Linked DNA regions of Arabidopsis thaliana. The protein of the gene in region 3 purifies or fractionates together with the protein of the main gene of each other region. This does not show direct contact. Each region holds a gene or a part of one and is shown on either strand. Other genes may lie near its edges. The genes, in order: ACC1, ABCE2, E2F3 and AT1G42440.

The links.
Region 1: the proteins of E2F3 (region 3) and ACC1 purify together in Arabidopsis thaliana (affinity purification with mass spectrometry, with the first as the bait; one large-scale study listed by BioGRID). This does not show direct contact.
Region 2: the proteins of E2F3 (region 3) and ABCE2 purify together in Arabidopsis thaliana (affinity purification with mass spectrometry, with the first as the bait; one large-scale study listed by BioGRID). This does not show direct contact.
Region 4: the proteins of E2F3 (region 3) and AT1G42440 purify together in Arabidopsis thaliana (affinity purification with mass spectrometry, with the first as the bait; one large-scale study listed by BioGRID). This does not show direct contact.

Annotation. Positions count from the first base shown.
Region 1 is NC_003070.9:13,531,337-13,536,168, forward strand, and holds the start of ACC1 (acetyl-CoA carboxylase 1), read left to right. Parts: upstream 1-1,831; 5' UTR 1,832-2,223; exon of another isoform or gene 2,224-2,562; intron 2,563-2,830; 5' UTR 2,831-2,859; coding exon 2,860-3,201; intron 3,202-3,352; coding exon 3,353-3,559; intron 3,560-3,645; coding exon 3,646-3,807; intron 3,808-3,888; coding exon 3,889-3,981; intron 3,982-4,114; coding exon 4,115-4,210; intron 4,211-4,390; coding exon 4,391-4,564; intron 4,565-4,657; coding exon 4,658-4,751; intron 4,752-4,832. UniProt on the Arabidopsis thaliana protein: Multifunctional enzyme that catalyzes the carboxylation of acetyl-CoA, forming malonyl-CoA, which is used in the plastid for fatty acid synthesis and in the cytosol in various biosynthetic pathways including fatty acid elongation.
Region 2 is NC_003075.7:10,499,390-10,505,726, forward strand, and holds ABCE2 (RNAse l inhibitor protein 2), read left to right. Parts: upstream 1-1,733; 5' UTR 1,734-1,925; intron 1,926-2,504; 5' UTR 2,505-2,516; coding exon 2,517-2,619; intron 2,620-2,839; coding exon 2,840-2,925; intron 2,926-3,020; coding exon 3,021-3,118; intron 3,119-3,201; coding exon 3,202-3,319; intron 3,320-3,408; coding exon 3,409-3,498; intron 3,499-3,603; coding exon 3,604-3,908; intron 3,909-4,003; coding exon 4,004-4,199; intron 4,200-4,284; coding exon 4,285-4,470; intron 4,471-4,559; coding exon 4,560-4,829; intron 4,830-4,916; coding exon 4,917-5,162; intron 5,163-5,267; coding exon 5,268-5,387; 3' UTR 5,388-5,402; intron 5,403-5,509; 3' UTR 5,510-5,828; downstream 5,829-6,337. Other genes in the region: AT4G19200 (proline-rich family protein), read left to right, coding at 1-146, 721-1,001; AT4G19220 (Tetratricopeptide repeat (TPR)-like superfamily protein), read right to left, coding at 5,877-6,337.
Region 3 is NC_003071.7:15,117,887-15,123,686, forward strand, and holds E2F3 (E2F transcription factor 3), read left to right. Parts: upstream 1-1,702; 5' UTR 1,703-1,801; coding exon 1,802-2,077; intron 2,078-2,113; coding exon 2,114-2,263; intron 2,264-2,593; coding exon 2,594-2,780; intron 2,781-2,832; coding exon 2,833-2,874; intron 2,875-2,914; coding exon of another isoform or gene 2,915-2,968; intron 2,969-3,052; coding exon 3,053-3,227; intron 3,228-3,353; coding exon 3,354-3,405; intron 3,406-3,503; coding exon 3,504-3,562; intron 3,563-3,643; coding exon of another isoform or gene 3,644-3,694; intron 3,695-3,800; coding exon 3,801-3,849; intron 3,850-3,969; coding exon 3,970-4,035; intron 4,036-4,124; coding exon 4,125-4,201; intron 4,202-4,374; coding exon 4,375-4,618; intron 4,619-4,744; coding exon 4,745-4,814; intron 4,815-4,909; coding exon 4,910-5,007; 3' UTR 5,008-5,298; downstream 5,299-5,800. Other genes in the region: EMB3114 (Mitochondrial transcription termination factor family protein), read left to right, coding at 1-296; HVA22J (HVA22-like protein J), read right to left, coding at 5,538-5,800. UniProt on the Arabidopsis thaliana protein: Transcription activator that binds DNA cooperatively with DP proteins through the E2 recognition site, 5'-TTTC[CG]CGC-3' found in the promoter region of a number of genes whose products are involved in cell cycle regulation or in DNA replication.
Region 4 is NC_003070.9:15,894,660-15,901,609, forward strand, and holds AT1G42440 (pre-rRNA-processing TSR1-like protein), read right to left. Parts: upstream 5,447-6,950; 5' UTR 5,281-5,446; coding exon 5,190-5,280; intron 5,115-5,189; coding exon 4,960-5,114; intron 4,890-4,959; coding exon 4,758-4,889; intron 4,680-4,757; coding exon 4,629-4,679; intron 4,537-4,628; coding exon 4,396-4,536; intron 4,297-4,395; coding exon 4,174-4,296; intron 4,073-4,173; coding exon 3,995-4,072; intron 3,888-3,994; coding exon 3,795-3,887; intron 3,715-3,794; coding exon 3,592-3,714; intron 3,339-3,591; coding exon 3,255-3,338; intron 3,159-3,254; coding exon 3,060-3,158; intron 2,927-3,059; coding exon 2,735-2,926; intron 2,616-2,734; coding exon 2,540-2,615; intron 2,366-2,539; coding exon 2,262-2,365; intron 2,176-2,261; coding exon 1,913-2,175; intron 1,833-1,912; coding exon 1,746-1,832; intron 1,663-1,745; coding exon 1,432-1,662; intron 1,300-1,431; coding exon 1,221-1,299; intron 1,131-1,220; coding exon 1,067-1,130; intron 985-1,066; and 3 more.

The DNA.
Region 1 (4,832 bases), on a different chromosome or scaffold from region 3:
TACATATGAAATTATACCTCTTATATAAAACCATCGACAAAGAGTTGTGATGAATGATGATTTCTGTATATTAATGATTTTTGGTGAAACATATAAATGATTTTATAAATATGAATGGTTTGCAATACAATATGCTTTTATGAATTATAGTCGTGATAAATAAAGTAAAAGCATATCTGAGACACTAACATATACGATATAGTCTAGAATGTGGTAAAAGTTTTTATTATCCTTAGCTTAACATGGCCATGCATATTATTGTGAGATGACCACCTCATGCGTATGAGGTAGATAGATGAAGAATTGGTAAAAATCTATGAATTGATTTTACATGACTAACTTGAACTTGGGTGCAACACTAATCTAGATCTTGGTCCAATATACGTTCTACTAAATGAGAAACAAAACATTAAAACATTTGAAACACATAATTTACAAGCAAGAGGAAAATAAAATGTTGGTAACCTAAACCACCCAACCTTGTGTCAACGACTCAACGTACACAAATACAATTCCTCTTGGCTTTAATCTATTATATTACACATTCCTAAGACAATAATAAATATTTTCTTTAAAACGGAAACAGACCGACCAAATAAACGAAATAATAAATCTCATACAATGCGATCCATTTGCTATGGCCTCTTGTGACGTATTTGAAGTTCATTTAACACAGACGGTAGAAATTTATTGTCTTCTTCATGGCTTACCTAATACTATTTTAAAATAGATATCTTTCATTGCTTAACAAATTTATACCATTCTTCTTTTATTCGGCACAAATCTATGTTTTGCTATCATTTGCTTTGTTCGGATACAAATGTAAAAGAGATAGTTATGTAGTAAACTAAATGTAGTAAACTTTTAAATAAGAAAATTATGAAATAAACTCAAATCAGCATTTTCTTGATACTTTCTAATAGTCTTAAATATACACAAGAACAAAACATAAGTATATAACCATAAATTGAAGTTAGCTAAAGAGAACATAAATCTAAAGATGGTAAAGGAATAATATTTCTTGATTTGGCCTGCGAATATATTGAGAAAAAAGTTTCCAACAAGTTAAATGTATCTTATATAAAGCATTAAGAATGGTATATATTAATTTAAATATAACCTAGAAAAACTATGCAAAAGATTTGTTTGGGTTTGAAGATTATCCACTTAAATTTGGCAATTAAATTCAAGAAACTATTGGTAAATTATATATGCCAAAAACTAAACTGGCAAAAAATATTGAAATCTCCGGAGATAACCGAAAAACCTAAGTTTTATCGATTAAATCTAATCATATTCTCTAGATTTTCTCTGAAATTAAAAATTATTCTGATGTCTATAAAAAATCACAAATTCCATATAAAATTTCCTGTAATCATATATTTTTGGTTTGGTTAAAATTTTTTTTTTTCCAAAACTTGAAATAAAACTTTGTATAATAATACTATGCAATAGATTTGTTCGGGTTAGAAGATTATCCATCTAAATTTAGCAACTAAATTCAAAAAACAATTGATAACATAATATATCTCTGTAAACTATATATGCCAACATAAAAAATATTTTTTTCTGCAAAATAAACTGGCAAAAATTATTGAAATCTTCGAAAATGACCGAAAAACCGAAGTTTTATCGATTAAATCTTGTCATATTCTCTAGATCTTCTCTCTGAAATAAAAATTGTTTTGATGTCTATAAAAAATCACAAATTCCATATAAAATTTCTACAGTATTCAATTTTTTTTTTGTTTTGGTAAATAAAAAAACTTGGTTCTAAAACTGGAAATAAAACTTGAAATAAAACTTTGTATAATACTACAATGAGAAGCATTGGGAAATAATATAGCGGAAAAAACAAGAGTGGGGGGATGAAATGAGGTAGCTGAGGAACAAGTACGGCGCCTCCTAACAAAAAGGGATCGAAAAAAAACAATGGAGGTGTGGAGTGTGGCGGAGGCAGAGACCACGTGCTCTCTCTTCTCTTCTTCTCCTTCATCTTCTTCCTCTCTTCATCATCTCCCATTATTAACTCTTCTGACCCCACTTTCCTTCTCCTCTTCTAACTCCAACCTACCCTCTTCTCTCTTCCCTCTCTTAAAACCCTTTCTCTCTCCCTCATTCTCTTCCATGTCCTCCTCTCTGTTATTCTTTAGCTAAACACCCACAATTCTGGCCTTCTCTGATGCCTCTTTAAGCCAATTTGTATCTCTGCTTCCTTACAAGGTTTAAAGTTTTCTGCTTTTGCTGATTTTGTTATTTGGGTGTTTTAAAGTTTTGATTTTTATGGTTTAGCAATCGGAATTTGGACTTGTTTTTGTGATTTTTTACTTGTTGTTGGAGTTGGGTTTTGTTGAGTTTTTGTTATTTGGGTGTTTTAAAGTTTTGATTTTTATGGTTTAGCAATGAGAATTTTGCACTTGTTTTTGTGATTTTAACTTGTTGTTGAAGTTGGGTTTTGTTGAGTTTTCGACTTCAATATTGTAGAATTTTAGTGGGTTTGGGGAGTTTATAATCATTAGTTCTGAGATCTCTCAGATTTCTAAAGGAACTCATTATTATTGGGTAATGATGCTTTCTTACTTGCAAGATCTTTGCTTATGATTGCGTTTTGCTTTTTCTATACTCTTTTTTTCTTCATGTGATTACGCAAAAGCATTGCTGTCATCTTTGTTAATTCCACCTTGTAATCTGAAGCATCTTTGTTTGTTAGATTAAGCAACCAGATTAGGAATTGTTTTAATATTCCTGTTATGTTCTTTCAAGTCATTTTGGTAGATAGCATCAGTTTCTTTGTAAAGTGATTCAGTATGTGTTTATGGCTGTTTTGTAGATATATCTGAAGCTTAAAGGGCAGTGACAATGGCTGGCTCGGTTAACGGGAATCATAGTGCTGTAGGACCTGGTATAAATTATGAGACGGTGTCTCAAGTGGATGAGTTCTGTAAAGCACTTAGAGGGAAAAGGCCGATCCATAGTATTTTGATAGCTAACAATGGAATGGCGGCTGTGAAGTTTATACGTAGTGTCAGAACATGGGCTTATGAAACATTTGGTACGGAAAAAGCCATATTGTTGGTGGGGATGGCAACCCCTGAAGACATGCGGATCAATGCGGAGCATATCAGAATCGCTGATCAGTTTGTTGAGGTTCCCGGAGGAACCAACAATAACAATTATGCTAACGTTCAGCTGATTGTGGAGGTGAATCCAACTTTTGGGAACTACTATTATCTGAATTATCGTGTTTTACTGTACAGAACACATGTATTAAGCTCAATTTCAGCAATGAAGTTTTGGTCTTTGGAGTTATTTTTCATTCATCTGAACATCTTTGTCTACAACCTGTGTGCAGATGGCTGAAGTAACACGCGTGGATGCAGTTTGGCCTGGTTGGGGTCATGCATCTGAAAACCCCGAATTACCTGATGCCCTAGATGCAAAAGGAATCATATTTCTTGGTCCTCCAGCATCTTCAATGGCAGCACTGGGAGATAAGATTGGTTCTTCGTTGATTGCACAAGCTGCTGATGTACCCACTCTGCCATGGAGTGGTTCCCATGTAAGTAAATTTACTCTTGTTAAGCTTAGCTTGTGTACCAGAGGTATATATTTTCATTTTTATATACTGAATTCCTATGTTTTCAGGTTAAAATACCTCCTAATAGCAACTTGGTAACCATCCCAGAGGAGATCTACCGGCAAGCATGTGTCTACACAACTGAAGAAGCGATTGCTAGCTGTCAAGTTGTCGGTTACCCAGCAATGATCAAAGCATCGTGGGGTGGTGGTGGTAAAGGAATCAGGAAGGTCAGCTTCTGTAGATATGCCTTTTGATTGTGGACTAAGCCGATTACTATATAAGTACTTATTCTGGTTTTAAATTTATAGGTTCATAATGATGATGAGGTTAGGGCTCTATTCAAGCAAGTTCAGGGTGAGGTCCCAGGCTCACCAATATTCATAATGAAGGTTGCGTCACAGGTATGGCTGCTTAACTATATCTCTTGATCGAAGCTTAGCTGAGTTCTTATCTGGTTACTTTACTAGAGAATTTAAAGTAGTAATGCATTGCTTTTCTTTACATTTCATTTTTTCTAATTTTTTTTTTGTATAGAGTCGGCATCTAGAGGTCCAGCTGCTCTGTGACAAGCATGGAAATGTTTCAGCTCTGCATAGCCGTGATTGTAGCGTCCAGAGAAGACATCAAAAGGTTTGTTAGTGGTTGATTCTGGATTTTTAATTGTCTGGTTAGTGGTTATATAGAAAAACATTCTGTCCATTTATTCTTATATAGTTATATACATCAATTTTTGTTCTCCAACTGAGTTATAGTCCCTTTTAGCGATTGCAAATTATTGCATGAGCTCTTACTTTATCGTTTGTATCGTAGATCATAGAGGAGGGTCCAATTACTGTGGCTCCGCCAGAAACTGTCAAGAAACTTGAACAAGCAGCTAGAAGGTTGGCTAAGAGTGTTAACTATGTTGGAGCTGCTACTGTTGAGTATCTCTACAGTATGGACACTGGGGAGTACTACTTCTTAGAGCTTAACCCTCGCTTACAGGTTGGTTTCATACTGCAGCTTTTTGCGTTGAAATATATTGAAGGTCCGGACTTGAAAATTGAATGACTTGTTTAACTTGATGTTTGAGGTCAGGTTGAGCATCCTGTCACTGAGTGGATTGCCGAGATAAATCTTCCTGCTGCCCAAGTTGCTGTGGGGATGGGAATTCCTCTCTGGCAAATCCCTGGTATAATCTACGTCCTTATTTCTTACAGGCAGCGGTTCCTCTTCTTTATCCATGCACACGAATAATGTACTGTCTGTTTCT
Region 2 (6,337 bases), on a different chromosome or scaffold from region 3:
ACCACAACAAGGGTATCCTCCAGCTGGAGGCTACCCACCTGCCGGATATCCTCCTGGTGCTTACCCTGCTGCGCCCGGTGGTTATCCTCCTGCACCTGGAGGTTACCCTCCTGCTGGCTATCCTGCACCTGGAGCTCACCATTCAGGTATGCATTGTCTCGTTAAAGAGCTCTTCTTTGTAGTTTTGGTAAATGTTGATGTTTTCTATGCAAAAGCTATGGAGTGTCCTTGTAGCTTGCTTGGATTATCAACCTGCTAAATATTGTTAATCATTGAATGTTAATAGGAAAAGACTTTATAAATGTTTCGGTTTTCTATGAAAAAAGCTAAAGATTGTGCGTGAAGTTTGCTGGATCATTAACCTTCGAACTTTGAATGATAATAGAACAATAGTTTGTAAATCTTACTGTTTTCTTTGTAAATAAAGCTTAGAACTGGCCTTGTTGTTTGCTGGATTATCAGCCTGCTAAGTATTGTCAAGTTTGAATGATAGTATGACAATTGTTTCTGAAATGTTGTTTTTTTTTCTGTGATAAAAAGATGAGGACATATAAACTTACTGTCTTCTGTTTTGGTGTATACATTGATGTTTTAATTTTAAATCTACTAGGAGTACATGTTTAATCGTGTGTGCTTATCAATATGCAACTTTGTGGTCTCTTATATGCATTCTGCTACTTTGTGGTTCTCCATGTAATACTATTTTCTTTTTTCCATCAGGACATTCTGGTGGTGGACTCGGAGGCATGATAGCAGGTGCAGCTGGTGCAGCCGCAGCAGCTTATGGAGCTCACCATGTTGGTCACGCCTCTCACAACCCTTACGGGCATGCTGTAGGACATGGAGGGTATGGCCATGCCCCTGCTCATGGCTTTGGCCATGGTGGTCATGGTAAATTCAAGCACGGAAAGCATGGAGGCAAATTCAAGCACGGAAAGCATGGAAAGCACGGGAAACATGGCATGTTTGGAGGAGGAGGCAAATTCAAGAAGTGGAAGTAATCTCAAAAACCCCACCTTTGATCCTCTCCTCCAGTATAGTCTCATTACCTGACCGATGTTTCTAATAATCCCCCTTCAAACATATTTCATTTTAACTATGTCGGTTTAGAGATTACTGGTTGAGGAAATAATTGGAGAGTGCTAGTATAAACCTTATGGTATCTGCAGCAGAGGTTTCTTTAATCTCTCAATAGTAGATGCTTTGAAACTTATCTATAATTTGGTATTGTAATGACAGTTTGTGTTTGGTTTTTTCTTCAGTATCTTCTTTGTTTGATCATTTGATGTTGGTGGAGTTCTCCAAAATATTTATGCTATTGTAGATCCTAACCTTTCTATCTTGTTATTCTTCGTTTTTTGGCCATTATTTTCGTTTCGCTCCCGATCCAAATTCCAAAGTACTTCAACAATATCTTATGCAATAACGAGACAAACACTTAAGGTCGTGCAAGAATAGTGTCTGTTTTTCACTGATTCACTTTTACAGAGAACAAACTGAATTAATTTTGATTATTGAATAGTTGACATGCAATAATATTTGTTAATCCAAATGAATAGATAAAAAAAAAAATTCCTTGAGAGTAAAGAAACTAAATTTTGGAAGACAATTTTTAACTAGTTTTCTCTAAAACTAGGAAAGTCAGAAAATGAGAAAACAAATTTGATTTTATTACGGAAGTGAAGGGCTTTCCGACAAATTGCTTTGCTCAGACCAAACTGTAACCGACCCAAGCCCAATAAAAAAGCGAATCGGGTCAAACGAAAACAGATAATTCAGAAAACCCTAAATTCGTTTCTCTTTTTTTTTCTTCATTCTGAGCAAAGCAGTAACTCTCAGGTGCGTGTGCTCTCCGCTGGTTCCTTAGAACAATCGGCACACGCTTTTTCATTTCAATCTTCTTCTTCTACTCTTAAGTATCTCAGGTACTAATCTCGATTTCTCTATTTCTCGTCCATGGAGATTTAGATTTCAAGTCAGATGCTTTTCGATTTGTTACAGATGTATAATTTTTGTAATCGATTGATTCGCAGCTTGGATTGTATTGAGCCATCGACATACCTTCAAAATTCTTATAATTGTATTGAAAGTGTTTGAATTTAATGTTTTTTTTTTTCTTTCTCTCGATTGTTTTGATTTCTGGGCAAGTGTCAACTTTTGTAACAGATTAGTGACCTTTCTCTTTATAGATATGTGGAAGAATTTGGAATTTACAAATTCGGTTCACCATTTTTATCTGAAGCACTGAATTTGCGTTTTTCAAGCTTGAGTGAATATTATTTCTTGGCTCTTAAGATTTTGCATGTCAACTATTATTTCATCATTGTTAGCATCTTGTGGTGTTCAAGTTATTATTTTAAATATTGTTTGTGCTACTCTATAGTTATTCCCTATGTTGTTATTTCGTTCCTTTGCCTTAGCGTGACATCTTTATTTGGTATATTTGTATCTGTGTGATTTAGTTTCTTCAGGCTGTTAAACTATAGATTTCATGTATTTTGTAGGTCTGTTGAGAGATGGCAGATCGATTGACACGTATTGCTATTGTGAGTTCAGACCGTTGCAAGCCAAAGAAATGTCGCCAAGAGTGCAAGAAGAGTTGTCCTGTGGTCAAGACAGGTGTATATTTTTATTCCAAATTTGGATCTGTGGTCTTTCATGTGGATTTATTATTATTGTACTGTAATTGATTAGCTTTGTTATGTGCGTCATGCCAATTAGTAGACAGAGAATGGTTAGGTGTTTATGTGAAGCCATTAGCTTATAGTTCCTACTTGAAGTTGTTGTAACTCTACAAATTTTTAGTGCCACTTGTTCATTAACTTGCCTTTTATCTTAGGAAAACTTTGTATTGAGGTGACTGTTGGTTCCAAGCTTGCTTTTATCTCAGAGGAGTTGTGTATCGGTTGCGGTATTTGTGTGAAGGTATGTATGCATAGGCTCTTTCCGATATCCAAGATGCCTCTAGAAATGGCACCTAAACTGGGATGCTAAATGACTCTGTTGTTACACAATTGCAGAAATGCCCGTTTGAAGCTATTCAGATTATCAATCTTCCAAGAGACTTGGAGAAAGATACGACCCATCGTTATGGGGCAAACACTTTTAAGTTACACAGGTTCGTTTATCTACTATTTTTCCTGAAACAAATTGACCGCTCTTGTAGTTTTCAGACAATGAAATCTTTGTCTTTACTTCCAGGCTCCCAGTTCCAAGACCAGGGCAGGTGCTAGGGTTGGTTGGAACCAATGGTATTGGAAAATCAACTGCTCTGAAAATTTTGGCTGGAAAGCTCAAACCAAATTTGGGCCGTTTCACTGTAATAGCCTCTCTTGAGTTTCTAAACTTTTATCTTCGAAATTTGGTCTCTTTCATAGTTGATGTGTTCATATATTCCTTGTTGAACAGAGTCCTCCAGACTGGCAAGAAATCTTGACTCACTTCCGTGGTTCAGAACTTCAAAACTACTTCACACGTATTCTAGAAGATAATCTTAAGGTACAGTTGAAACTGATATTAATATTTTTCTCCATGAGGTAGCTAGGTATTATTTGATGTTTAAGCAGCTCAATTGAGCAAGTTCTGATACCCTGTGCATGGCAGGCCATTATAAAGCCTCAATATGTCGACCACATCCCAAGAGCAGTTAAAGGCAATGTTGGAGAGGTCCTTGACCAGAAGGATGAGAGAGATAAGAAGGCAGAGCTCTGTGCTGATCTGGAGCTGAACCAGGTCATTGACCGTGATGTTGAGAATTTATCTGGTGGTGAGCTGCAGAGGTTTGCAATCGCTGTTGTTGCCATACAAAATGCAGAGATTTACATGTTTGATGAACCATCTAGTTACCTCGATGTTAAGCAAAGACTCAAAGCTGCTCAAGTTGTTCGTTCTCTCCTGAGGCCTAATAGGTTTGAATTTCCCAGCTTCTGAAGTTTTTTTTTCAAAAGGGATAAAAAATAAGGTACTTACATTGTTTTTTTTTTGTTTTTTTTTTGTTTCCCAGCTACGTCATTGTTGTGGAGCATGATCTCAGTGTTCTTGATTACTTGTCGGATTTCATTTGCTGTCTGTATGGGAAACCAGGAGCCTATGGTGTGGTGACTCTCCCCTTCTCTGTCAGAGAAGGAATCAACATTTTCTTGGCTGGATTTGTTCCTACAGAAAATTTACGTTTTAGAGATGAATCTTTGACCTTCAAGGTATAGATATTTTGTATGATGAAAGGCAAAGTTTTGTCGCCAAGGCAATAAATTGTTTTCCTCAATGTTTTTCTTTTGTTTGAAGGTTGCTGAGACTCCACAAGAAAGTGCTGAAGAGATACAGTCGTACGCTAGGTACAAATACCCCACGATGACCAAAACTCAAGGAAACTTCAGGTTGAGAGTGTCGGAAGGTGAATTCACTGACTCTCAGATTATTGTAATGCTTGGGGAGAATGGTACAGGGAAGACAACATTTATTCGGATGCTGGTATTCTCTTCTTCCATGATATGTTCTCTTGTGGTTAGAGTTTTAGAAAGTACTGTACTGTAAAGTTGTAATATTGGTAATATTTGCAGGCCGGGTTGTTGAAACCAGACGACACAGAAGGACCAGACAGAGAGATACCAGAATTCAATGTTTCGTATAAGCCACAAAAGATCAGCCCAAAGTTTCAGAATTCAGTTAGGCACCTGCTACATCAAAAGATTCGAGATTCTTACATGCATCCACAATTTATGTCGGATGTGATGAAACCACTTCAGATTGAGCAGTTGATGGATCAAGAAGTTGTCAATCTCTCAGGAGGAGAATTGCAAAGGGTTGCATTAACTCTGTGCCTCGGAAAGGTAATTATTTTGTTTCAGACGTCTATATGACGTAGTTGCTTTCTTTCTCTCAGTGATCTCATGCATCCACAATGTGAATTCTTACAGCCTGCGGATATATACCTGATCGATGAGCCAAGTGCATATCTCGATTCTGAGCAACGTATTGTTGCTTCTAAAGTCATAAAGCGATTTATTCTCCACGCAAAGAAAACTGCATTTGTAGTCGAGCATGACTTTATAATGGCGACCTATTTGGCAGACCGGGTCATTGTGTATGAAGGACAACCATCCATTGATTGTACTGCAAATTGTCCTCAATCACTGCTCAGTGGAATGAATCTCTTCTTATCTGTAAGTCTCCTATTATATCTCTTAGTTACACCGTATGGGCAAGAGAAGAGGGCATAAAGGTTTGGTGCTAATGATTCCTATTTTATGTTTTTCGTTACCATGCAGCATCTGAACATCACATTCAGACGGGATCCCACCAATTTCAGACCAAGAATCAACAAATTGGAGTCGACCAAAGACAGGGAACAGAAGTCTGCAGGCTCATACTACTACTTGGATGATTAGGACAACTACCAAGAGGTTCTTGATCACTAAAATCCAATCATGTTTTCTCAATCATACAACGTTTTATGGAATCAACATCTAAAATGTTTGTTTTCTCTTAATGTCCTTCAATGGATTCACAGAATATAGGGCATTGTTCGAATTCCAGAAGGGTCTTTTGCTCAGAGGAAGTTGATCTATGAGCTCGGAATATTTTACGCAGCCATCTGTTTTCCGAGTGCATAAGCACAGATGTTTCTTTCTGGTCAAGCTTTTAATTGTTGTTTCATCAGTTTTACTTCTACATTTTCTCTCTCACAGCTTTTATTAACTGAGCAATAAAAGTTTAAGAATCTGTAACCTTTTTTTCTTTTTGGCTTTGTACTTCCTGAGTTGATGATTTCAACATTTACTGTGATGTTACTACTTTGGATTTTACAATCTATTGCCTATTTTTACATTATTTTCTTTCTTCTTACACAGCGTCTAACTCACTGATATAGGAAAACTTCAAGAAACAGTATCTAAACACCTAACGTCAATAACACTGTAACCAGGAAGCTTTTTCAAGGCATTATCCTCCACCATCTTCCGTAGTCTTACAGCTTCTTCCCAACCTCCCAATCCAACATAAGTATTTGCCAACGAGATGTAATAAGATGCATTGTCTGGTTCCATTTCAAACAAAACTTCTGCAACTTCTTTTCCCAACTTTGTATCCCCATGATAGTTGCAAGCGCTCAACAACGCTCCCCATACACCTGCTTTTTGTGGCTCACCAATCCCTGTGATGAACTCATAAGCTTCTCTCAGTTTCCCTGCCCGGCCAAGCATGTCAACAATCCAAACCCGATGCTCAGTAACTGGTTTAACCCCAAATTTTTCCTCCATTTGCTTGTAATAACTTAGACCTTCATCAATAAACCCAGAGTGGCTGCAAGCTGACAACAGGCTTATGAAACTGCTCTTGT
Region 3 (5,800 bases):
CGCAGCTGTTTAATTACAGTATTGCTGAGAATTATGAGCCGAAGTTGAAGTATTTGATGGTGGAGATGGGGAGAGATGTTAGAGAGGTTCTTGAGTTTCCTCAGTATTTCTCGTTTAGTTTGGAGAATCGGATTAAACCGAGACATGAAGCTTGTGCTGCGAAAGGTGTGAGGTTTCCATTGCCGGTGATGTTGAAGACTAATGAAGCTGGTTTTAGAGATACATTGGAGGTATGTTGTGATTCTTCTCCGCCATTGAAGACCTCTCGCCTTGTTACTGTACAAAAAGATTCTTGATTTATAGAGTTTTGTGTGCTAGGAGAACATGGAAGCAAGTGAGTGAGAGTTTCTTGCTTTTTGTTGTTGTTTTTTTGTTTAATGGAGTTGGAGAATTGGTGAGAATTGATGGGGTTTGCTTTGTTTTTAGGTACATTTTTGTAATGAATGATGATGAAGAACTCAATGAATGAAGAAACCAGCCTCTGCCTACATTTTGAGACACACACAGGGATGGTGAGTTAAATCTTGATAAGAGAAAGAATGTTCATTTACAATTCACGATTCCGATGTATTTCGGTCTAGTTATTGTTAGTGAACGAGAAATCAAGTGTATGTAAGTCCAGAAACCGTGTAGAGTTGCGATTTGCAGAGAATTGTGATTCTACAATTGGAGGCAAGATGATGAATGTGTGAACTGATTAGCGTAACGGTTTAGTTATTGGTCTTAAGTCTTAACAGGGAGAATTGGTTCTAGAGCTTTTAGTCCCTTTGATGGTTCGTGAAATGCCAGTGGTCTATGATCGGATTCTCTGTTTCCGTTCTCCTTCTTTTTTTGGGCCTTAAATCCGTTTTTATTGGGCTTCAACTTGATAACGACTTTACATTCTCTCGGCTCAAATGGGGTACACTCGTAATGAACATGAATGAACTTAAGGTACTACAATACAACAATGCCTCACACTCTCTAAGTGAACCATTTTTCTTGTGACCTGTAATAAGCTAACGGCGCAGGACAAGAAAAAAGCGGTACGAAAACTTTGCCAATCTAGGTCTTTACCAATTTCTATTTACCCTTTCTAACTATTTTCTATCACTCATTTGTCGTTAATACTAATTAATGACATCAATCATGTGCAATATTATAGTCCTCCAAATACTGAATTGAATTATGAATCCTTCATCAAGTGACTTTAGACTTAATCTACACTTCGCATCAGTTTTTCCACTGCCATACATGATACAACAACCACTAATCAATACAAAAGGATAAAAAATAAAAATAAAAATATTATTACACATATCATAACGGAAACAGCAGCACATGTACTATAAACAAACTCTATCCCAATCTATTTGCAGAAATCTGTTTACCGACTACACACATTTAAATAAAAATTTCAGATTCAAAAAACAAGTTCTAGATCAAAAATATATATGCATGATCTCCTCTTCTTCACCATTATAAAGAACAGAAAAGAATCTCAATATTCCCGTTACTAAAAGGCACAAAAAGTAATTTCCCTAAAGTAAGTAGGGTCAATCTAAAACTAAATACAAAATCCCGGGGCACAAATAGAAAGAAAAAAAAGTATATATTTATTTCCTTAACATTTTATTTATTATTGCTATAGGCTTCCCTCCACATCTATCCCAACATAAAATTCCCTCCTTCCCTCGTTTTCTGCTCTCTCCTTTTCTTTTCTTCTTCCTCTTTCTCTCACTAAAACCCTTGTTTCCTTCACTCGCCGTCGCTTTTCCCGTCATCGGAATCTTCAAATTCGACTCTCGCTTCACTACGATCCATGTCCGGTGTCGTACGATCTTCTCCCGGTTCTTCTCAGCCGCCACCGCCGCCGCCGCACCATCCACCGTCATCTCCGGTTCCGGTTACATCTACGCCGGTTATACCACCTATACGTCGTCACTTAGCTTTCGCCTCAACAAAACCTCCGTTTCATCCTTCCGATGATTACCATCGATTTAACCCTTCTTCGCTCAGTAATAATAACGACAGGAGCTTCGTTCATGGTTGTGGTGTTGTAGATCGGGAGGAAGATGCTGTCGTTGTTAGATCTCCTGTGAGTTTTGGGTGCTTTTGATTCTTCGATTTAGAGATTTTCCCCAGTGAGATTGGTTTAGAAATTCGAGGATGTTTTGGGGATTTCGATTGCTACTTGTTGCTTCTAAGTCTGATTCAAAAGCTTCGCAGCGTTAGATTATCGTCGATTCGTGTCAATTTTTGTCGTTTGTTTAGCTTCGCGATGGTACATTTTGCTCATAACACTGCGTTTCAATTACACCCAATTGACGCAAATCAGACATCAATTTCTCCAATTGCCATGCCAAATTGGCTCTGATTGTTGCGTGAGGTGTTGAATGTTCACATAGTGTTGAGCATTAGCTTATTGATATCAAAGTATTGGTGTATGAAGCTTGACATTGTTTGTTAATGTATAATGTTTCAAGTAGATCCCAATGTTGTGAAAGTTTATGAGGAATGATATAGATAATTTGTGTGTGGATGCTTTAAAACCTTTTGGATGATATTTCTTTGACCAACTTCTTTAAGCTAATAACAACTTGTTTATATGCAGTCACGAAAGAGAAAGGCGACAATGGATATGGTTGTTGCTCCATCTAATAATGGATTCACGAGTTCTGGTTTCACTAACATACCTAGCAGTCCCTGTCAAACTCCTAGAAAAGGGGGCAGAGTCAACATCAAGTCAAAGGCCAAAGGAAACAAGTCAACTCCTCAAACACCCATCTCGACAAACGCTGGTAAGAAGAATTGTATTCTTGACTCTCTACCCCTTTTGGCCTTTCTATATAGTTAGATCCTTTTATGAAATATCTTTCATGTCTAGAGTAACAAGTAAGTCGAAGAGCTGATTACTTTCCTGGTCAACTTGCAGGTTCTCCTATCACACTTACTCCATCAGGAAGTTGTCGTTATGACAGTTCTTTAGGTAATTAACAACTTTTCACATATATATTTAATATTCGATACATGTTATAGTGTATATGAAGATGCTGACATAAAAGCTGTTCAGGTCTCCTTACAAAAAAGTTCGTCAATCTAATTAAACAAGCCAAAGATGGAATGCTGGACCTAAACAAAGCTGCAGAAACATTGGAGGTGCAGAAACGACGTATATATGATATTACAAACGTTTTGGAGGGGATAGATCTCATTGAAAAGCCTTTCAAGAATCGAATACTTTGGAAGTGAGGATTTTTATGATATAGTATGCTTATGTATTTTGTACTGAAAGCATATCCTGCTTCATTGGGATATTACTGAAAGCATTTAACTACATGTAAACTCACTTGATGATCAATAAACTTGATTAGGGGAGTTGATGCGTGTCCTGGCGATGAGGATGCTGACGTATCTGTATTACAGGTGTAGTGAAACAGCATACACTCAAAAGTCATTGTGCATGTAAATCTTAAAATATCATGTAGTTCTCGCTTCCTTTGATTAATGTTCTTGTTTTGTAGCTGCAGGCAGAAATTGAAAACCTCGCCCTCGAAGAGCAAGCATTAGACAACCAAATCAGGTAAGCATTCATTTAAAGAGTTTTGGGTTATTGTGATTAATCTATTTAACCAATGCTGACGCTTTAACAACTTTTATTCAGACAAACAGAGGAAAGATTAAGAGACCTGAGCGAAAATGAAAAGAATCAGAAGTATAAATCTCTGTCTATCTATCTTTTCGTATGGCTAGTTTGTTCTGGCTATGAGATGGTGCTATTTATATGATGGACACTTAACCAATCCGTTCACATTGTCCAGATGGCTTTTTGTAACTGAAGAGGATATCAAGAGTTTACCAGGTTTCCAGGTCTGTCTTTCCTATTTCATATGTTTAATCCTAGGAATTTGATCAATTGATTGTATGTATGTCGATCCCAAGACTTTCTTGTTCACTTATATCTTAACTCTCTCTTTGCTGTTTCTGCAGAACCAGACTCTGATAGCCGTCAAAGCTCCTCATGGCACAACTTTGGAAGTGCCTGATCCAGATGAAGTTAGTCTTTTTCAGCGACCTTGGATGACATCTGCCATTCTTTGTTAGATTCCAAAACGTTATTATAATGTTTCTTCTTTACTTGACAGGCGGCTGACCACCCACAAAGGAGATACAGGATCATTCTTAGAAGTACAATGGGACCTATTGACGTATACCTCGTCAGGTATTTATGCGTTGGCTTCAAATAATAGAAACATTGTTATTGGCATTTTCCGTGACTTCATATACTCTACTGATGATGGTATACATATAATTGAACGTATCAAAACAAAGATTTCTATGATTTGGAACATTCATTGTCCCGTTTACATGCTTTTACTTTGTCTTCATGTTCAGCGAATTTGAAGGGAAATTCGAAGACACAAATGGGAGTGGTGCAGCACCACCAGCATGCTTGCCTATTGCTTCTAGCTCAGGATCTACAGGACACCATGACATCGAAGCCTTAACTGTTGACAACCCAGAAACTGCTATTGTGTCTCATGATCATCCTCATCCTCAACCCGGCGATACCTCTGATCTTAATTATTTGCAAGAGCAAGTAGGAGGAATGCTTAAGATTACTCCCTCTGATGTTGAAGTAAGCCATCTTCCTGCTTATTTTTATAATGAACATAGAAATAGGAAGTTGTGCAGAGAAACTAATTAACCTGACTCAAAATCTACCCTCATAATTGTTGTTTGATATTGGTCTTGTATTTTGCAGAATGATGAGTCGGACTACTGGCTTCTCTCAAATGCTGAGATTAGCATGACGGATATTTGGAAAACTGACTGTATCCTTTGCATATATGCAATTTGTTTCTCTCTTATAGTTAACTATATCTATCTGCATAAGATATAAATACGCAATCCTTAACTCTAGCAAAAGCTGGTATCGATTGGGATTATGGAATAGCCGACGTGAGTACTCCACCACCAGGAATGGGCGAAATAGCACCAACAGCTGTTGACTCAACCCCGAGATGATCGAATACCAAGCACACTTCTCAACTTCTGATCCCAAATGTGTTACCTCACAACACTCCCTAAAATCATATACAAGGAGGGAGCAACTACAGAACGTGTATGAACCAATGGCAGGTGCGTTCCATACAATGTACCATTAGATTATGATTCATTTATCGCCTAGAGTGATGTTGTAGAGGAGCACCGAGAAACTAATGTAAGTTTAACAGAGAATGTACTTCATCGGCTGCATTGGTACACTATTTGATTATAATATTTTTGACCACTCAAATGCATCTTTATAATCAGCTATATGAAGAAATCCAAACTCAAATCAATATCCGGATTAAAGCGGGAAGTTTAAACGAAAACAAACACAAATATTCTCGCTGTATTAATACTTACTGCTTCAATTTACAGAAAACATGAAAAAAAAAAAAAAATCTGTTTTGTTTCAATTCAAAACTTTCATTCACTTTTCTTTCCCTATATATCTTTAAACAAACGAAAAGGGTTTCTTTGTCGAGTCACGTATATGTACGTTTGCGTTACTATGCCGCTGGCTGAGTTCTGGAGTTAGAACGTCGCAGCTTAGCTCGAGCATCAGTGAGGGGTGATCCCGGAATTGTATCAGGAATGTTGACTCCATCATCACCGTTAAATGTTCCGGCGGAGTCTCGGCCTGGTGTTGGTGGTGGTGTTGGTGGCGGCCACTTCCTCCCTCTGCTTGTTTGCTTCTCTAGCGATCGCAACGCAGATAGTGATTTGTTCAGCGGTCTTGGAGCGCGCGGTGATGGAGGATCATTGTCCATCT
Region 4 (6,950 bases), on a different chromosome or scaffold from region 3:
TAAAAAAAAAATGTGGAAAATGCTTGACACTGTTAACTCACCGTCAATTCATGTTGACGTGGATTGTTACGTGGCCAGAGACTCCAAAACGACGTCATTCGGAGTGAAATGAGATGCCAAATTTTCCGCATAAACCATCCGATGCAAAACAAGCCTAAAAACAATCACCAAGTACCTTAAACCCAACAAAGAACCTAAAATCTAAAACAAGCCTAAAAACAATCAGCAATCTATTTATGCGGAAACGACGTCGTTTATGCGGAAAATTTGGCATCTCATTTCACTCCAAACGACGTCGTTTTGGAGTCTTTGGGCACGTCACAATCCATGTCAACATGAATTGACGGTGGGTTAACAATGTTAAGCATTTTCCACGTTTTTTATATATTTTAGTTTGTATATTTCAGGTTTGCAATTTGAATTTTATGAAAGTGAGAGTTTGTTTTAGTACATTTAATAGATACTTGTACGATACTTTTTTAGTTGACCAAAAAAAATAAAAATTAGATACTTGTATGAATTCAACACAGCTTATATGTCGGGCTATGAAAAAGACGATATTCCCATATATGAGGCAGATTAATCAAATATAGGTAGCTTATTGTGAGCAAGCAAGCAATGTCTTTAATAAGAACAAGCTCAATCTATTTAAGTATTTTTCTCATAACAATTAAGCTTATCAATGGTTCAACCCCATATTCCAAATGTATATGTATAGTGAGCAATAAAGAAGAAAATTTGCATATTTTTATCACATACAGGACAAAACTGGAGGACTTCCACTAAACCACCACCATAAATTACCAAAGAAGAATGTCGTCAATTCAGAGAAACTTGAACATCATCATCTTCATTTAAAAAATTCGAATCAGAGAAGCTGTGGGTACAGACGTTCAGGCCACTTGGGATAAGCGCGCTTGTACAAGTTCATGCACACTACGTCATGTTGTTGAACCACTCCATTGAATATGCATTTCATTGCCCCTGCACAGCTCACATGTATAAGGAAAATTCCAGAAACAAAACTCTAGCTTGGCAATCTCTTCTATTAATACTAATGCCTTACCATGTGTGCCTACTGGTTCCTTCACGCGACCACGACGCCCGCATTTTGACCATACTTCAACAGGCTGCACACACAAACATTGTGCCAGCTTTAGCTTAACATAAAAATTAATACGTATATTATTCAATCCATCGATTCTATTTTTCTCTTTTACCTTGAACCATTTCACGTCTTCGGGGTTGTGGAACATATATCTGACTGAAGCTTTCATTTTCGATACTCTCTGAGGGTACCTGAACCAAACCACATTTCAAACAGCTTAGAATTACTACAGATTATGTTTTTTATCTCCCCAGTTCAAATGTCAGAGCATTAGTATCTATCCAAACTGGAATATGTGATTGTATTTGGAATGAGGTCATTACCCAGTTAATATTATCTTCTTTAAGATTATTTTGTTGGGTTCTACGCTTTTCAAGGAACCAAGGGCAGCAATGGCAGGAGGATCCGACCCTTCAGAAATCTTCAGAACTACCAAAGGAAGGGGTGGGAAAGATATGGGGCCGTATATTGAAGCCAACGAGAAACACCCTGGATGCAGGAATCTCTCCATCTTGTGCTTGTCTGAGCTGAAATTGTCGGTCGCAAATACCGGCCTGGAAATTCCCACGACAAAAATTACAAAAGATCGCAAACAAGAAAACCTACTAAAGTAGATAAAGCAGAAAAAATTTGCTACCTTGCAATGAATTGACGGAAACCAACATGGAACATTAGCTCTTCTTTTGTTTTAATAGGAGCTTCGTAACCATCATACTTCTTTACGCTGCAAAACATAGACAAAGGTGATGAGAAGAGGGCAGAGCACTCAAGGTCTCAACAAACAGATATCTTAAGAGTGATTACCTAAAATGCAGAACCGACATCTTGGATTCATGCTGCAGAAGCCCAAATCCTATAATTGGTTTCGTTGTGTTCACAAGAGAAGATAGTTTAGAGGCAGCACCAAGAGGCACTTCTTTAATATGCAGCCGTACATATGACCCAATTGGTACACAATCATCTCTGTCTTCTTCTTCCATCTTCAGGGCTTGCTTGAGCACAAGCTTTTGAGTCCTTGCGACATTATCAAAAGCAAAAATTCTAGCATAGTCCTGAGGTAAAGACTCCTGCATTTGCCAATAAATTATAAAAAATTAGCAACACTTAACTGTGAAAAATATAATGAAATTCACATCAAGATCAGTGTTATTACATTTGGATCCCACGAGGAGGTTCTGAAGGATTTAAGACCCCTGTACTTTGCAAAACGTCTTCTTGCAGGAACATCAATGGGAGTCTCTACTTCATCTGGAAATTCTGACAAAACATAAAAGAAAATTTTAATGAGTAAAAACAGAAAAGACAAAATCAATTAGCACATGAGAGATACAGAAACTCTACAAGGACTCAAATGAATATTTGCATTTATACACACAGACACACAATGACTCATACAGAACATAACTCCACACAGAGGAAATAAACACCAACCTTCGTCATCAGCATATGCCTCTTTGATTTTCTTGATTTCATCCTTAATTTGTTCTTCTGTCAAGTCTTCATCGTCCTGAACAATGAGCAAGTTGGCTTATAACATTACCAAGATAGTCGACGAGAACAAAAAATGCAATGAAGCTACAAGTACTGTTTTGTAAGTCATAAAAGTAGGTGGACAGAAATGTATACCACCATTTCGGATTCATTCTGAGTTTCAGTATCAATATCCCGCAGGTTCAATGATTTTCCGTCATCCTCAAATTCTTGGTCATACATTCCTTCTTGATTGGAATCCTCTCCTCTATCCAATACCATACCATTATCATCAGAATCACCATTATCGGAATCCTCTTCATCTGTTTCATCCACAATCCAAGCAGCCTGTAAAACAAATCATAAAACCCAAAATAAGAGGGCCACCCGCTTATAACATTTATTTTTGAGGAAAATTGCACAAGACAGAAGAATAGTTAAAATGAGGCTAGAAACATCAGGTTAAAAATAATCCAGGAACCTGATATTCTGAAGTCCCTCGCGGCAAAGTCTTCTTCTTTAGCCTGCCCTGCTTCTGATTTTTGTCAGCCTCAGCCATTTCTTCCTCTGTTGGCCATGTCTACACAAAGGAAGAATTGCACAAGTGACTTCCCAGAACAGATAACAACACGAGCCAACTGCCACCTTCATTTTTTAGAGAACTAATCAGACTTACCTGTTCCCCTGCTAAAGGATCTGGAGTGTTTTCAATTACTAAAGGCTCTTGTTTCATGGGATCAGGAACCAGAGACTTCAATACCTGGTCAAATCAAACACAGGTACAAAAAATAAAGTGAATTTACAAAGAGAAGAAAGCTGTGAAAATAGCATTATGAAAGCAAAATAACATCCTATTTTAAGAATGAAATTAAGTGTAAAATGATATTATGACAGCATTCCAACAAACTATATAACCTCTTTTCCTATAACTATATCTGAAGGATTCAACTTAATGTATCTTTTCTAAAGTAATAGTTTGTTGATTTGTAAAGAAAATATTATATATAATATACCTCTTCATCATGTGAATCATCTAATTCCATGGAATTCTGATTTTTCCTTTCATTCAAAGGAAATGGATCCTTCAGCACTTCAATTTTGGAGAATTGAAAATCCCCAACGCCAGAAACATGGACCTAATTTGAGAAAATAAATTAACAAGGGATCCATGGGTATAGCACAAGGCATGATATAGATAGCAGAATGGCTTGATTACCAGTTGATTTACAGACAGTTTGCGAGCACGCAAGTAACCAGAGAGAAGTAGAGTGCACTTTCCTGAGCTTTCATCATCCACCAGCATCCCAGCCTAAATGCACCATTCAACATTACAGAGATATTCTACTTTCTATAAAACCCTTTTCTTCTCAGAGTCAGATTAAATGTAATGAACTTATATAAGCATAAATCACACACCTTGCGAGCCACAATGTATGATCGTTGACTTCGCCAGTGAGGCACAGTAAGCCTTTGCGCCTTGAATAACCACATAAACTGCAAACAAGCCCAGAAATGTTCTACTAATTAAGAACATTAAAACTATTGAAAACCACTCAGTAAAATAATATAAAAAATTATCAGTCATAAACATTTACCTTATGCAACTCATCTCTGGTATCTGCTGGATAAAACTTACAATCCTCAGGAAATTCAGAAGCAAGTTGAGAGGCACACATCTTTTTCATCTCATTTTTCTTTTTCACATCACTGGGCAAATCCTGCAATCATACAAAACGAACTTGTTAAGCTCAACTTCAAGCAAAATTTCAAGAAATCAGAAACCTGGTCGCTACTAATATAGAGCAGAAAGAACTTACACGGATCAACACAGTAGTGCTTGGTAGACCAATTGATCTAAACACAGAAAGACACTGACTTCCGAAAGAATCTATGAAGTTAGAGCTATTCTCTTCCCACGGAGCACTTGCAGATGCAACAAAAGCCATCAAATCAGCAACCTAATACCAGTACCAAAAAAAATCAGTAAACACCTATAACAAACTCTGCTCACTGAAAGAACCAACAAACGAATACAAGACAATTCACATACCTTGGCCATTTCCATACATGTCAGAAGATCCCCATGAGGCGCCTTTAACACCTGTAATATATATAGTCACAACATTGATCACACAAATATTCATATATCTATATAAACAAATCTTAGGAATACACATACAGTTGCTCGTAGCTTATACTCAGAAGATGCAACTGTCGAAGAAGCAATTCCAGAACCATCAGAAGATAACAACTTCAAAACATCTTCACCAAGTGAATTCAATTCCACAGAAGCAGAGAGAGGAAACAAAACCTATCATCATTAGAAAATATCATAAGTGGAACATTGCAACAAACAAACACACAAACATGTAAAAACTCACGATAACACGAGGAGCACTGTTAATTCCTCCTGATGCTCTCTTCTCCTTCAAAACTGCTGCTCTCTTCTGCTCTCTAAGCATCTTACCACGTTGAACACGAGCAGCTTTAGCTCCTTTAACATAGTTACTATCCGATTTCCCAATCCGGCCACTATCTGATTCCATTCAAACGCGATTTTCAGTATGTGGAGATTGAAAGAGATGAATTGTTGAGGATTTAGGGGGTTTACCTTGAAGGTTGGTTCTATGGAGATTACGAGAAGATTTAGAGGAGAAACGAGTCTTGTGAGCTTTGTTAACTTGAACTCGAGAGCGTCCCATGGCTTCAGCAAGAGATGGTGGCTGGATTTGGTGACTGCTTTAAAGTATAAACCCTAATTTCAATTTTGCAGTTTTATTTCCTCAAGGGTTTTGTGTAGTTTGTCTTCAGACTACTTGTTTTTGTTCGACGGCTCAAAGACAAAAGTGGAAGAAGACGAAGAATTACAAAATATGTGGGCCTAACTTCACAAATAAAAATGAAGTTTATGGGCCCATTAGCCCAATATGAATGAGTATTTGTGACTTAAAATGATATTTTGCTACACATGCTTGGGGCCTAAAACTTTACCAATAAAATGCAGTTTATGGGCCTATCAGCCCAATATAAATTACTATTTGTGCTTAAAATGATATCATTTGCATGCTTAAAGCATCATTATTGGTAAGTTCTTAGATTAGTTCTTGGGATTTTTTTTTGTCTTTTATATAAATGTCATTTTGTCTCTTATATAAGAGTTAAAATGAGATGTTCTTATCATAAGAACTAATTTAAGAACTTACCAATAAGGATGTTCTTAGGGCCTTAATTATTAATATTCCTTTTTTCGGCAATATAACGTTTTGTCTTTTTTCAACTTTTACCTAATTTTAAAGAGTTTTTTTTTGTTTTTTTTTGTTTTTTTTTGGTTTTTTTAAGGTTTTTTAATTTAACCTTAAAAGTCATTTTCGTATACAAAGACAAAGAAAAACAGAAATTTTAGTGGAAAAACAAATGATATGATGAATGAAAAATTTGAAAGTTTACAAAGTTTTTTTTTGTTTTTTGTTTTTTTGAGGTTTTTGTTTTAACTTTAAAAGTCATTTTCTATACCAAAAAATAAAAACAAAATTTTAATAGAAAATAAATGATTTGAATGAATGAAAATTTTGAAAAATTACAAAAATTAGGACTAAAATTAGGTTGGAAAGGTAAAAAAGGAAAAAAATTTATAAATTCATATTATTATATCAAATTTGGCTCACAATCGTGACACGTGTTATCAATCAATTGATATGTGTCACATACAAAAACAACAACAACGGGATTGAATGTGATGTCAAAAGCGCAGAATTAAGTTTTAGGGCTAACTCTAAAACGAATCTCTTTTAATGAGTCCCCCCATCGCATATATTAGAGCTAGCTTTTCTCTTTTTATATTTTGTAAGTTAAATTCCCAACAATTGACATGTACCCGTACACTAAACTGTCTGTCCATCACATTAACTTTCACGAATTTATTATTGTAAAGATGGGAATTGACATGTAGCATTTTTTCTCCTTCTTAATTATGAGAAATCGGAACCAGATGCTCTTTTAGTTGTTTAGTTTTGGTAAAACGGTGGCGTGGTGTTGGAATGATAAAGATCAGATGAGTATGAGTGATCATGATTACTTTGAGTGGGTCGTGAAAAGCTTGATGATTTATTAATATATATAGATATTTGTGTGTTATTTGTTTTACAAAAAGAGGTTTATACTGTTGTTTTAGCATATGTTAGTACAAGTTTTTAAAGCCAATACCTTTTTCTTAATTTATAATGTGTGCCATTCTAAAAGGAGTCACATATAATATTTGAGACTGAAGAAAAAAAAGTTCTAGATCCAAAAACAATAAACTGATATATGTATATTCATCTTTCTATAAAACATTGTGCAATCACTACAAAAAAGGGTCATTTTATATCATTTA